2 linked regions of the Pelodiscus sinensis genome follow. Each later gene encodes a partner of the first gene's protein in a complex. Links are inferred from orthologs where the notes say so. Each region holds a gene or a part of one and is shown in the gene's direction. Other genes may lie near its edges.

Region 1 (7,897 bases):
ACCATTTTTCTCCCTCCTCCTTGTGACACCCTTTCAGGTCCTTGAAAGCTGCTCTCATGTCCCCTCTCAGTCTTCTCTTCTCCAGACTAAACAACCCCAATTCTTTCAGTCTTCCCTCAGGTCACGTTTTCCAGACGTTTCCCCTTGTGGCTGCTGCCTGCGCTGCACCCTCCGGTTTGGGAACCCAGGGCTGTTTGTATTTGCAGGGGGCGAGTGAGATACAAGGGGGGAATATTCCGGCTTGGAGCCCCAGTCGGCCTTGGACTCCTCCCCCTCCTAAAGTGTCCAGCCCCTGGGCCACCACACTCAGCCTATTGCCAGCCTTTATTGTCCAGGGAGGAAGGAAAATGGAACCCAGGAAATATCCCTGGAACGGGGGGAAGTTGGGCGCCACCCCGCAGAGCTCTGGGCCATGGCGGAGGCGCTCTGCCAGCCGGCAGCAGTAGTAGGCTGGTAGCGTGGTATCGCCTCGCCCGCAGGGGGCGCCCTAGCGCACTCGGCTACTGGGTGACGGTAGCAGGGAGGGAGAATAGGGAGACGTGCCCCGGCCGCCTCCAGCCCCAGCGAGCGGAGGAGCAGGCTGGGCGCCTCCTGAGGGCCCGGCGGGGCGGAGTTGGTTCTGGGCTCCTGTGCCAAGCAGGTAACAGCGAGCGGCCGGTCCCCTGGTGTTGGGCGCAGGGTCGGGCGGCCAGGCGCTGCCGGGCAAACCCGCATCCCCGGCTCCGGGACCAGGCTGGGCATTGACAAGGACAAAGGCTACACAGCCCCGGACACCCCCAGCCCTCCCCCTCCTGCCCCGGCCGCTTGCAGCTCCCGTGCCCCATTGCCCCGCCCCCGAAATGCAGCCCGCTCTGGGGTGGGGCGTGGCAGCTGTCTGGCAGCCGTGCGCTGGCGGCTTAGCATAGGAAGGCTGCCTCCCGCCGAAAAGGCGCTTTCCCACCCTGATGTGGGGCGGGGGGGTTCTGGGTCTCGGGGGGCAAAGCCGCAAAGAAAGGCGGCTGTGGAAAGAAAGGCGAGCCCCCTGGCCAGGGCCCGGGGCGCAGCCAAATCTGCCCCGGCAGGGAAGGGGTTAGCTGGAGGCGAGCACTCAGTTATCCATGGGCACACCTGGGGGGGGGGGGGGCGCTGCGCCCAGCAGAGGTGAGGGAGGCCGGCGGGTGGGGGGGGTCTCTGTTGGCTTCGGGGGCTGCCCCCTGTGCGCTGGGGACGGGCGCTGTGTCCAGGAGCGCAGCTAAAGCACCGCGTCTTCTCCCAGGAAGGCTCTGACCCGGGGCTGGGTTGAGGCTGCCCCGGCCTCTGGGGAGTTTCGCCCGTAGGGTGGAGGCGCATTGGCTGGGTGGTAGGGGGGTGGGCAGAGTGACCTGGCGGAGACGGGCCCCACGTGGCTGCAAGGGGGGGACGTTATTGGAGTCTCCCCCTCCCAGTCTAGCGGCGCCCCGGGAAGGGCCGCTCCCAGGGCACCGTCCGCGAGGTGCCGCAGCCGGAGGGGGGCTGGGAGAGAGCGGCCAGGCTTGGGACAGGAGCCAAATTCCTGGTCGTGTGGGGGTGGGGACTCGCTTGGGTCTGGATAATTCCGCCAGGGAATCCCGGACACGGGCCCAGCCCTGCCCCGTGCCCCCTGGGACACAGCGCGCCCGACACCTGCAGCGCCAACGGGAGAGGGCAGGGTGGTTTGTTAACTCTGAACCCTAATGGGATTTCCCCCATACGTAAGCGCCGGGAGCTGTCTCATGCGGGTCGGCTTGGCACAGGCATGACCATTGGGTGAGAGTGGGAGGAGCTTGGGGTGGGTGGGTGGAACATCTGGCAGAGAGAGAAAATAACCGTGGCAATAGATCAGGCTAGGAATAGGGCCCTGGTGTCCTGCCTCCCGGGCCCCTTCTCCAAACCCCGAGCCACCTTTCCCTGGCCGCAAGGCAGGAGTCCCGGCTGGCCCAGACTGTCACCATTAGAGTCTGAAAAGGCTGCGCTCTTCCTCCATAACAGTGCCCTGAGCGGCAGGGGGAGAGCCAGGCAGCCCTCGGCGCCGTGTCTAACCCCTCGAATTCTCCTCCTGCCCCTTCCACGTCTCTGCTCTTCCCAGCCAGCACCTGCCACCTCCGATTGACACTCCCGGACCCCACGGGAGACTGTTCAGCTAGGCGTAGGGTGGCGCCTCACCCCACTGCCCTCGGGTGACAGACGCTCTCCAGCCCCACCCACACCTCCCAGGCGGCTCCCCACCACTCCCCCGTTGGGGCCTCCTACCACCTGCGCGGGGCGGGGGCAGAAGCAGCCATGCTGGGCAACTACGGGGCAGGGGACCCCATAGACAGGGATGCCCGAGTCAGTCTAAGCTGGCGCTGCCCTGCCTTGGAAGAGGCTTAAAACTCCGCCCTACCTCCCCCGGCGGCAGTCCTGGATCACTTCCGACGTGGGGGTCAGAGGGGCTATGAACGATCTTTGAACACTAGGGGGGATACATGGGGGAACCCTCAAAGCCAGACACGGTTTGAGGAAGAAAACGCCCGGTTTGTGTGGGCTAACCGCCTTAACTCTGCCCCCCGCAGACTCCTTGAGGTAGCTCACACTCACCTCGAGGGAAGCCGCATTGGACGGAGTCCTCCGATAGTGTGAGGGGAGGCGGTGCTGCCTAGTGGCCAGAGCAGCGGGCTGGGAGCGGGGAGACGGTGCGCTTTCGCCCCAGAGCTCCGTGCCTCAGTTTCCCCATCCGTAAAACGTACCGGGACGGTTCCCACCGCCCTTCCTCAAGCCCTCGGAGATTCCCCCCCCGACGAAACGTGCCGCGGCTGGTTATTAACAGCCGCGATTTCCCGTAATTCTCCAGCAGCGTGGGAGGGTTTCGTCACAGGCTCCCGGCGGGCCTTTCCCACTCGCCCGCTTCCAGCCAGGCAGAGAGAGGCTCTGGAAGAGACACCCCCGGGAGTCGCTTCTCTCCAATGCAGCCACCTCTGGCGTGCAGCCGAGAGATGCCGGCGGGGGGGGGGGGGTGCGGCGAGCAGCTCTTTGGCGAAGGCGGGTTCAGGCCGGAAGGCCCCTCCTGAGCAGTCAACTCCCCCCCCCCCCCAGAGGCTCGGGTCCTTAATGCCCGAGGGATTGCGGGGGGGGGGGGGGAGGGAGGAGGAAGAACCCGGGGCGGAATTCGCAGGAACATTTTTTCCAGCGAGGGGGGCTGGGGCACGGCCCAGCTAGTGTGAAATGGGAGGGGGCGGGGAGCTTGTGGGGGGGGGGGAAGGAGGGTGCTATTGTGTTAGCAGGTTGTATATGTGATGGGGTGTGGAGTGTGGCCCCTGAGCGGTGTGGGGAGGCTGTGTGCATGAATGTGTGTGATCGGAGGGGTGCGATGCAGTGTGAGCGGGAAGAGTTGTGGAGTGTGCCGGGAGGGAGGGAGGTGTGTGTGTGAAGGGGGGTGTGCGATGCAGTGTGTGTGTGTGTGTGTGTGATGTTAGGTGTACGATGCAGTGTGTGTATGTGAGTGAGAAGGGAGGTGTGCGATGCCGTGTATGTGTGTGTGTGTGTGTAGGGAGGTGTGCGATGCCGTGTGTGTGTGTGTGTGTGTGTGTGTAGGGAGGTGTGCGATGCAGTGTGTGTGTGTGTGTGTGTGTGTGTGTGTAGGGAGGTGTGCGATGCAGTGTGTGTGTGTGTGTGTGTGTGTGTGTGTGTGTGTAGGGAGGTGTGCGATGCAGTGTGTGTGTGTGTGTGTGTGTGTGTGTGTGTGTGTGTAGGGAGGTGTGCGATGCAGTGTGTGTGTGTGTGTGTGTGTGTGTGTGAAGGGAGGTGTGCGATGCTGTGTGTGCGGGGAGGGAGGTGTGTGCGCTCCTGCGCGTGTTACGGGAGTTGTGGCGAGCTGTGCGGGGCGCGGGTGTGTTGGCGCCGGGCAGCGCCCCCTACCGAGCCGCTCTCCCTGCAGCCTGCTCTGGGCCTGGGCCCCGGGGTGTCGCTGCTCTCCAGGGGCTGAGGTGCCGCCAGCTGGGGCTTGTGTGTCCCGGGAGCCAGGCGCAGCCCCAGGAGGGCAGGCGGGGCTGGGGGGGGGAGAGTCCTGCCCCCCGCCCCCGCCAGTGGGCGGCTCCGGGACTTCCAGGGAACTTGACTCAGAGTCCGCTCCGGCGCCGGAGGCACCAGGTTCCTGGACTCGATGACCCCTCCGGGTCCCTTCCAGTCCCACGGTTCTATGACATCCCGCCCGGCCCCGCGGCTGCCGCTCCCCGCGCTGCGCTCCCAGGCCAGGTGCCCTGCTGACCCGGCCCCAGCTCCCCCTCCCTCCGACCCCAGCCCCCTCCCAACCCCCCTCCCTCCGACCCCAGCCCCCTCCCCCGCCAGTCCAGCCCCCTCCCAGCCCCCTCCTCCGACCCCAGCCCCCTCCCCCGCCAGGCCAGCCCCCTCCCAGCCCTCTCCTCCGACCCCAGCCCCCTCCCCCGCCAGGCCAGCCCCCTCCCAGCCCCCTCCTCCGACCCCAGCCCCCTCCCCCGCCAGGCCAGCCCCCTCCCAGCCCCCTCCTCCGACCCCAGCCCCCTCCCCCGCCAGGCCAGCCCCCTCCCAGCCCCCCCCTCCGACCCCAGCCCCCTCCCCCGCCAGTCCAGCCCCCTCCCAACCCCCCTCCCTCCGACCCCAGCCCCCTCCCCCGCCAGTCCAGCCCCCTCCCAGCCCCCTCCTCCGACCCCAGCCCCCTCCCCCGCCAGTCCAGCCCCCTCCCAGCCCCCTCCTCCGACCCCAGCCCCCTCCCCCGCCAGCCCTGCCAGTGCCCCTCACTCCAGACCCGCAGCCCCTTTCTACCCCCGCCGTGGCTGCCCTGCCCGCTTGCACAGCGGGCTCCTCGCCGATCCCGTCTCTTCTCCATCCGCCCCGCGCTCCCTGGGCAGCCCCAGCGCCCGGCTCCTGGGGGCGTGGAGGTGCGGGGGGGGGGGCAGCCGCAGGCCCCGCCCAGCCCCTCCTGCCTTTAAACCGGGCGCCTCCTGCACACCCGCGCCCAGCCGGTGCAGCGGAGGTCGGGGAGCGGCAGGCGCTGGGCTAGGGCTGGGCAGCGCCATGCCCCGGGCCCGCAGGATGCCCCCGGCTCCCGCCGGCTGCCCCGCTTGGCTGCTGCTGGCCTGGCTGCTCCGGGTGCCGGGCTGGGCAGCGGCCGGACCCTGCCCCGCTGCCTGCAGGTGCTACGGGACCGCCTCGCTGCACTGCCTGGAGCCCAACCGCGTCCGCGGGCTCGGCCAGCTGCTGGGCGCCGAGAACTTCACCGACGTGTGAGTGGGGCGGGGAGGGGGCGACGCCAGCGCCCCCAGGGACCGTGCCATGGAGGGAGATGCCAATGCACTCCAGGGATCCGGGGGGGGGGGGCGTTGCCAGCGCGCCCCAAGAGCCATGGGGGGGGGGAATACCCGCATGCCCCCAGGAACTGTGACAAGGAGGGGGTGATGCCAGTGCGCTCCCAGGGACCATGTGGGGGAAGATACCCGTGTGCCCCCAGGGACCGTGCCATGGAGGGAGATGCCAATGCACTCCAGGGATCCGGGGGGGGACGTTGCCAGCGCCCCCCAAGAGCCGTCGGGGGGGGAGGCGATGCCAGTGCGTCCCCAGGGACCCTTGTGGAGGGGAAGATACCCGCGTGCCCCCAGGGACCGTGACAAGGAGAGCGTGATACCCGCGTGCCCCCAGGGACCGTGACAAGGAGGGGGTGATGCCAGTGTGCTCCCAGGGACCATGTGGGGGGAAGATGCCTGCGTGTCCCAAGGGACCGTGATGGGGAGGGTGTAATGCCAGTGCAGCCCTGTGTGGGGAAGAGCAGAGATGCCAACATGACCCAGGGACTGTGCCATGGAGGGAGGTGCCAATGCACTCCAGGGACTCTGGGTGGGGGGGCGAGATGCCAGAGCATCCCCAGGGACCAGTGTGGAGGGAGATGCCAGTGCGTTCCCAAGGACCGGGGAGGGGGCGGAGATGCCCGTTTGTCTCCAGTGTATGTCCGGGGGGGCATTACAAACAGGAGGCATAAGGCTGTTGGGGAGTGTGGATTGGGGAGGGGCGGGGTTGGGGTGCAGGAGTTCCAGGGGAGGGGGAGCAGGGAGGCAGAGGTATGCCGCTAGAGAGGGGACATGGGGCATTATGTGGGGGAAGCTCAGAGACGTGAAGGGTGCAGATTGGAGGCTGTAAGTGGGTGCGAAGGGCTTTGAACTGGCCTGTCCCATGCCTTGTGGCAGGCTGGGTGCCAGGGGATGGACGGGCGACAGCCCCTGGGAGGAGAGTGTCAGCTGGGCAAGGTGACCCTGTGTGCCACCTATGCCTGCCCCGGCTGGGATCAGAGAGGGCTGGGGAGACCCCACCCAGTGGGTCCAGGCAGGGTCAGGGAACCGCTCCCCTTCTGAGCTCCCCTGGTAGCACCCAGCCCTTCCCCATCTGGATCAGGGCAGAGATGGGTTTAGAACTGCCCCTGCGCATGGGTTTGGGGGCACTGGAAGGGGAATGGGGAAGCCAGCAGTGCTCTGGGTGGGTCGGGACAGTGCCCTGGCTCGGTGGGTGTGGCAAAGGGGGGTGCTGTTAGCTCTACCCAGAGGCCTGGTGAGATGGGGTCCAGCCTCAGCTCCAGGGGCTCTCTGGAGGGGTGGGGTGGGGGGCAGGAGCTCCGCAAGGGCTTTGCATTGAGCTCTCCCTGCCCAGCTTGGGAGCAGCAGGGGTCTGAGCACTGGGGGCTTGCATGACCCCTCCCCACCCCCATTTCCCTTCAGGTGGGCTCATGGAGCAGCTGTTCTCCAGGGGAAATGAGTTGGCTGCAGGAGGGAGCAGGGTCTGGTGGGTCGGAGCAGGGGGCTGGGAACCAGGACTCCTGGTTTTATTTCCAGGCAGCTACAGGAGGGGCAGGGAGGGGGAGCAGTGGGGCTTATTCAGATCCGGGAGCTGGGACCCCTGGAGGGAGGAAAGTGGGGGCGGGGGAGGACGACGCTGGGCTGTGCACAGGTTTTGGGGGGGGGGGAAAACTGGCCCAGAACTGGAGGAAATTGAGCAGAGACCCAGTCTCTACGCAGTGGCCAGCTCAGTCCCCGTTCTCGCCAGCACCCCCTATTCGATCCCACTCACCCCACTTTCTCTATGGCCCCTCCATCTGCCCCCCTTGGCTGGGCAGCTGCCCCAGTCATTCCCTGGCTGATGCTGTAGCCTGCATGATTTGCTTTCCCCCTATCCTGTGCAGGCCGGGGGCTGTGCTCCTGGGAGGGCTCCCTCCCCCCGCCCCGGTCCTGCGTGAGCAGGAGGCATCAGTGCTGTGCCCCAGGGAGTAAATGGGTCTCGCTCCATGGGAGTTGATGGGGCAGGTCCCCAGCTGTGGCCAGCCCCAGCCGGCTGCTGTGTCCGGATGGGGATCCACTGGCAGAGGGATTCCCCCTTAGTGCCAATCAGCCTGGTGCACTGAGCAGCGCGGTCAGACCTCCCCTTGAAGGGCGTTGGCTGCAGGGCTGGCGGGCAGCAATGTGTCTACATTAGCCTCTGGCACCTGCAGGCTTAGGTGGCTCTGCCGAGGCTGCTCTCAGTTTGCCCTGAGCGGGATGGGACAGGGCAGGAGGCAGGGTTCCCTTCTGCAAAAAGCCTGCGACCAGGCCTCCAAAGAACCGACTGGTGGTGGCCACGTGGCCTTGCAGAAGGTCTTGCCCCTCCCCTGCCTCAGTGTCCCAGTCTGTGCACTGGGAAGGACGTGACCCTAGCCTGGGGCGGTAGGGGGAATGTTTATGGCGTGAATGGGTTAACATCTGCATTGGGTGCAGATGGGCTGTGGGTCAGTGGGTGGCTGTGGGTCAGTGGGTGCCTCCCTCCCCAGGGAGTTGGACAGAGACCTGCCAAACTCCCTGCGGCCGGGGGTGCTGAAGCGTGTTGCACGGAGAACAGGGGCGTTAATGTCCAGTTTGCTGGCCCAGCTGAG
Region 2 (5,266 bases), on another chromosome or scaffold:
TCAGGCAGGCACGGCATCCACGTGCTTTCCCCTTGCCTCCGGATAGCCCAGGCAACAGGAAGAACAGCAAGCCATGTCCTGGGATGCATGGCTGCTGCCTTCCCTGCTCTCCCGAAATGGCACCCTTGGCTGCCTAGCACTGCCATCCTCGCTGGCTCCGCAGCCTCCTGGCATCACGGCTTTGTGGGCAGCCAGCTGCACCGGAGTTTGACCGTTAATCAGAACCGATAAGCATCGGTATATCGGTTCACCAGTTAAACTTTTACATCCCCTGCTTAAAGCGAAGCGTGTGCTTTCATGCTTTGCTGTTCTTCAAGGCCAGTGCCCAGAGTGTCAGAGACTGCTGTGCTGCAGAGAACTCCTATACTGTGAAACCAATGCAAAAAAAAAAGGGGGGGGGGATCATTCAAAGAGCCATGTAAGCGAGCTTCCAGCTGGATGCTTGCCAGGCCTGTCCCCAGCCTCTTCTAACAACAAGGAAAACTTATTTGAAAGCTTATTTTCTGAATTATTATTGAAATGGATACTTTTCTTCTCTAGCAGAACCCAGAGTAGGCTGCACCGAGACTCTTAGCTGTGCAGTCACACTGGCCTGCCTGATGGCATGCTGCATCCAATTTCAGCTCAGCGTCTGGAGGCAATAGAGACCTTGCCTGGGAGCAGCTTTCCGTTCAGTACACCCAGAGGTAAGCACAGTAGGAACCTGACCACATCTATGTACACCAGCCCCCTGTACCAGCTGCACCAGAGGAGAGGTAACAGAATAAACAAGTCATGCACTTGGCCAACTGCAGAGCAAGGTGTGAAAATAGCAGATCTTTTCTTAGCTCAAAAGAGTGATCAGTTTATATTCTGAAGTTGGAAGAGCAACAGACTGTATCATTTTACTTTTGCCTGTTTACTTGCACTTAGTATTCTTATTTGGTAAGCACCAAATTTGTTACGGCTGTTAGTGATTTCCCCCAATAATATCCTGTAGCAGGGAACTCCCAGGTTAACTCAACAGATCCCTACACATTTTGATTAGTTGTCTTTCAATTTCATTGAGCCCTCCCACCTTCTTCTAGCAGCTTACATCATTTATGAGACATGTTTACTGATTGCTGTATTCTAATGATGGTTCAGCCTTTCTGAAGTCACATCTGTTTGTGAGGACCCACATGGCTACATATGCAAAGAAATGTCCCTGAATTTCATGCCTACAAGAGGCAACTCCTTCCCTCTCTGAAGTTCAGATACACTGTAAACATTTTCAAAGAGCAGCACCTAGGCATCAAGTACGTACTAAGCGTGTGAATGGAAGAACAGCAGCAGACCTTGTGGAATGGCCATTTCTGTAAGCAAATCCATTTTCCACACACTTCAAGCCCTGCCTGGGCTTTACATTTATTTTGCACATTCAAGAAATTGCAGGTGAAGTGCACATTGCTTTCATCCTTCAGCTTCCATGTCCCGTAAGCAGATAGAAAATATCCAGGTTTGAAAATGCTTTCTCAGGGTTAACATATAACTACTAAAACCGCCCAAACAAACAGCTTTGTTCTGTGACTCCTACCTCACACCGTGCTGCCTGCTGGTGAAGAGAGTTATGGAGCAGTTGTAAAGCTGGGAGGGAGAGGGCTGCGGAGATGGTTTCAATTTAGTGGTAGTAGGTTTAAAGCACACAGTACAATGATGTTAGTAACTGTGTAATCAAAGGAAAAGGGCTTGAGGAAGACAGATAAAGGAGTTTTTAAATGTTGCTGCATTTAGACTAGTGAATTCTGCATCACGCAAAAGCAGAACACAGCCTTTTATTGGCCTCACTAAGCTCTATTTCCTATAGAAGGAAAGTATAAACAAAGGGCCTATATGTAAATACGTTTCGTTGAGGCTGCTGAGGGGGTGTTTAAACTACGTCTGGATTTCGTTCTGCAGACCTTTTTCAATAACAACTCTATTGAAAAAAGAAAATTCGTTAGCGATGTTGTGAGCCATCTGATTTTAATTTGGAGCTGGAGAACTGGAGGTTACTCGTAGACTCACATGGCTACAGTTCTACTCCCACCTCCAGATTCTGTTTCCTTGCCCAGACGGTGCCTGTATCTCACAAACGGAATGTAGGAAGAAGGCAGCCTCAATTCTGCTCCGAGTCTAAATGAGGGCACATGTTCATTGCAGCAAGACCTGCCTCTCTCCAACATTCAATCGCCACTTAATCCAGGTTGCTCAATGCACTGAGAAATGCTCAAGTAGCTTTTGGTCTCTCTAGCTCCTCTTATTGCAGGGACTTTAGCATCATTACTGCTTCAGTAACTCCTTCCATTTGGCATCTTTGGCTCACTTCTTATGTCCCTCAGATCACCCAGGCCTACAGAGGCCCAGCTGGTCAGGTCTCGCCAGCTCTTACCTCAGACATCAGTTTTCTTATAGACTCTTGAGTTGTCCATGAGAACTAGTAGCATGAAATATTAACTAGTATTCTAGTAATCCTCTCCATTTTTGACTAGTGAAGGCTGAGAAGAAAGAGTGGGAAGCTTTAGTAACAAGTGACCCATGCCCAAAAAATATTAAAACAGTATGGGAAATCAGAGCTCAACTGCAGAGTTTGAATTTTCCCCTGTGAAACTGTTTGTCCAGTCAGCTTGTGCCTGCCAGCCATGCAGAGAAATCCAGGGCCAGCTGAAACATGTCAGGCCAAAGAAGCCACTGAGGGGAGCAGTCTGGCTTGACAGTTTTTTTCTGTTTATACCCAGTCTGTACTTATTAGTGCTTCACAAGGGAAACTGAATGTCTGCCCTTAAGTGCATTTTCAGCTTATGTTTGGACTGTCTCTCTTATTCATAGGATGTCTAGTACTGATTCATTACCTAACACTTGTCTGGATTCCCTAATGCAGCTTTCACTGTCACCGAACTTGTGGTATAATGTTATTCTTGGAGAATCTTTAGAAACTGATTTTACATTTTTCAACACCCAAGCAGATGTACAAATTCTCTAGGGATGCAATAGTGGAGTCGATTAACTGACAAGCAGAAGCTTATCGGTTAATGTTATAGATTATGTGCATTTCCCCCCACCCTTTGCCAGTACATTTTTTAGCAGGCTGGCCAGCAGCCCAGCTCACACTGGGTCCTGGACTTACCCCAGTGTGGCTCTGCATTTAAAGTGTATTAGCAGCCGTGCGGGCAGGCAGCCAGCTCAGTTCCAACTCACGCCGGGTCTGGGAGCACAGACCCCTTCATCCCAGACAGGGGCTGCCCAAGGACTATAAAATAGTCGAGTAACCGATAAGAATTCATGGAGGTTAATCGACTATTCAATTAACCGATATTTAACATCCCTAGTATTCTCCAGGTTGCAGAGCAACAAACTTGTTTCTCTAGGCGTTGTCTGTGGAACCTGTACTTGCTCCTGGTTTTCAGAACAAAGGAGGGCATTTCTCTACCCATAAATCCCAGGTCTGTAGCCACAGTGGCTCCCAAGCAGCAGTAGCTATTGTCAAGGAGCCTGAGAAAAATATCAAAGGAGATTTCTACTCCAGAGAACACCCTAAGTCTCCACATTAATAACCCCAAACAGGTGCTTCATATACAATGTTCTGATAACAAATATGAAAGGAATTCATTATAATCCAGCCATTATTTCCTTGTATTCCTACTTTATTAAGCACATTAATGCTGTTTGAAAGTTTTTCTAGAAGAACATCTGGGACCCACATGAATAGCTGATGAGAGCTGCATGATCTGCACTGCAATGCTGAATAGCCAGCAAATTCACCAGCATTAGCAGCATTAGAGCAGTAAATACCCATCCAGGTCCGAGTGGGCCTCTCTCAAGCAGCACAAGTGCTTTCAGGTGCATGTCACTCGTAGTAACCCTCAGTTTCTGTTTCATTCTAGGTGCATAGCGTAATGTCCATGCTGTACTACACTCTGATTGTAGCTTTTTTGCTCGGCATACAGGCAGCACCAAAGTCAGAGAATAATGCTCCAGGGGGGTTTCCTGCAGGACCCACCATTCCAAATATCCACCGGACTAAAGCCAATCACATTGCCAAGGCGGCTGCACACACAGGAAACCACAGCCTCGTTGAGAAGGCGGACGACGGAGACTCAGGCCAAGCGGCCAACATCACGGTGGATCCAAAGCTTTTCAGGAAGAGACGATTCCGGTCCCCTCGGGTTCTGTTCAGCACACAGCCCCCGCCACTGGTAGGGGACGGCCAGGACATGGAGTATCTGGGAAGTGGAGATTCTCTTAACAGGACTGTCCGAACCAAGCGGACGGCTCATCCCGTGCTGCACCGCGGAGAATTCTCAGTCTGTGACAGTGTCAGCAAGTGGGTTGGGGACAAAACCACAGCAACAGACATCAAAGGCAAAGAGGTGACGGTGCTGGGAGAGGTGAACATTAACAACAATGTCTTCAAGCAGTACTTCTTCGAAACCATGTGCAGGGAACCTAAGCCTGTTTCCAGTGGGTGCCGGGGGATTGATGCTAAGCACTGGAATTCCTACTGCACCACCACGCACACCTTTGTCAAAGCACTGACAATGGAAGGCAAGCAAGCAGCCTGGAGATTTATCCGAATTAATACTGCCTGCGTGTGCGTGCTCAGCCGGAAAACCGTGAGACCCTGAGATGGAACAAACCATCGCACCCACATGCTCCCCTCCCCCCTACCTCAGCCTGTAAATTATTTTAAGTTATAAGGACTGCGTGGTATATTTATAGTTTATACAGTAAAGAACGAACCTCGCTATTTATTAAACTTTTGGAAACTCGTTTTGTGTGATGCATTTAATTTAACGATGTAACACTCCTTTGGGGAGATATTCATCTCTGCCTTGTGAGCCACACAGCGTGGCCACTGAGCGCACTGTTCTGTGAAAAAAAACATTTTGCACTTTCCTTCCACCCTCCCTCCCCCAAGCCAATTTTCACAAGCAAACCTGCCCTTTTCGTGGGAAAATCTATGGCTTGTTCCAGAAGGTTATGTTCTTTTCCAACTCATGAAAGTATAAAAAAAAAAAAAAACACTAGAAAAATATAGCTGGGTTTACTCCCATTCTACTAGTCTCCAAGGGGTAAGCTGTGTTAGTCTGTAACTTAAAATGTTTTTAAAAAACCAAAACAATCAGTGGTCCTCTATATTTTTGTTAGGCTCTAAAGTGCTACAGGCCCACTTGTTTTTTTCCAGTTTTGTCCCCATTCTACTAGTCTGTCATTAGGATTCTGAGAACTGTTGGTGCAACATACAGTGATTTTTATACCACTCTGGGCA

The links. The genes of interacting proteins can lie anywhere in the genome.
Region 2: the proteins of NTRK1 (region 1) and NGF are in contact, whole or in part, in a crystal structure (PDB 1WWW), measured with the Homo sapiens proteins. The link is inferred for Pelodiscus sinensis from reciprocal best matches to the Homo sapiens genes NTRK1 and NGF. Residues at the interface, in NP_002520.2 of Homo sapiens: His291, Val294, Glu295, Met296, His297, Cys300, Pro302, Phe303, Ser304, Leu333, Glu334, His343, Gly344, Cys345, Arg347, Thr352, His353, Met379, Asp380, Pro382; in NP_001424474.1 of Homo sapiens: His125, Pro126, Ile127, Phe128, Arg130, Gly131, Glu132, Phe133, Ser134, Ser138, Ser140, Trp142, Tyr173, Phe175, Arg180.

The regions. Positions count from the first base shown.
Region 1 is NC_134734.1:18,100,928-18,108,824, forward strand, and holds the start of NTRK1 (high affinity nerve growth factor receptor), read left to right. Parts: upstream 1-4,882; 5' UTR 4,883-5,025; coding exon 5,026-5,234; intron 5,235-7,897. UniProt on the Homo sapiens protein: Receptor tyrosine kinase involved in the development and the maturation of the central and peripheral nervous systems through regulation of proliferation, differentiation and survival of sympathetic and nervous neurons.
Region 2 is NC_134737.1:178,111-183,376, forward strand, and holds NGF (beta-nerve growth factor), read left to right. Parts: upstream 1-3,893; coding exon 3,894-4,622; 3' UTR 4,623-4,766; downstream 4,767-5,266. UniProt on the Homo sapiens protein: Nerve growth factor is important for the development and maintenance of the sympathetic and sensory nervous systems.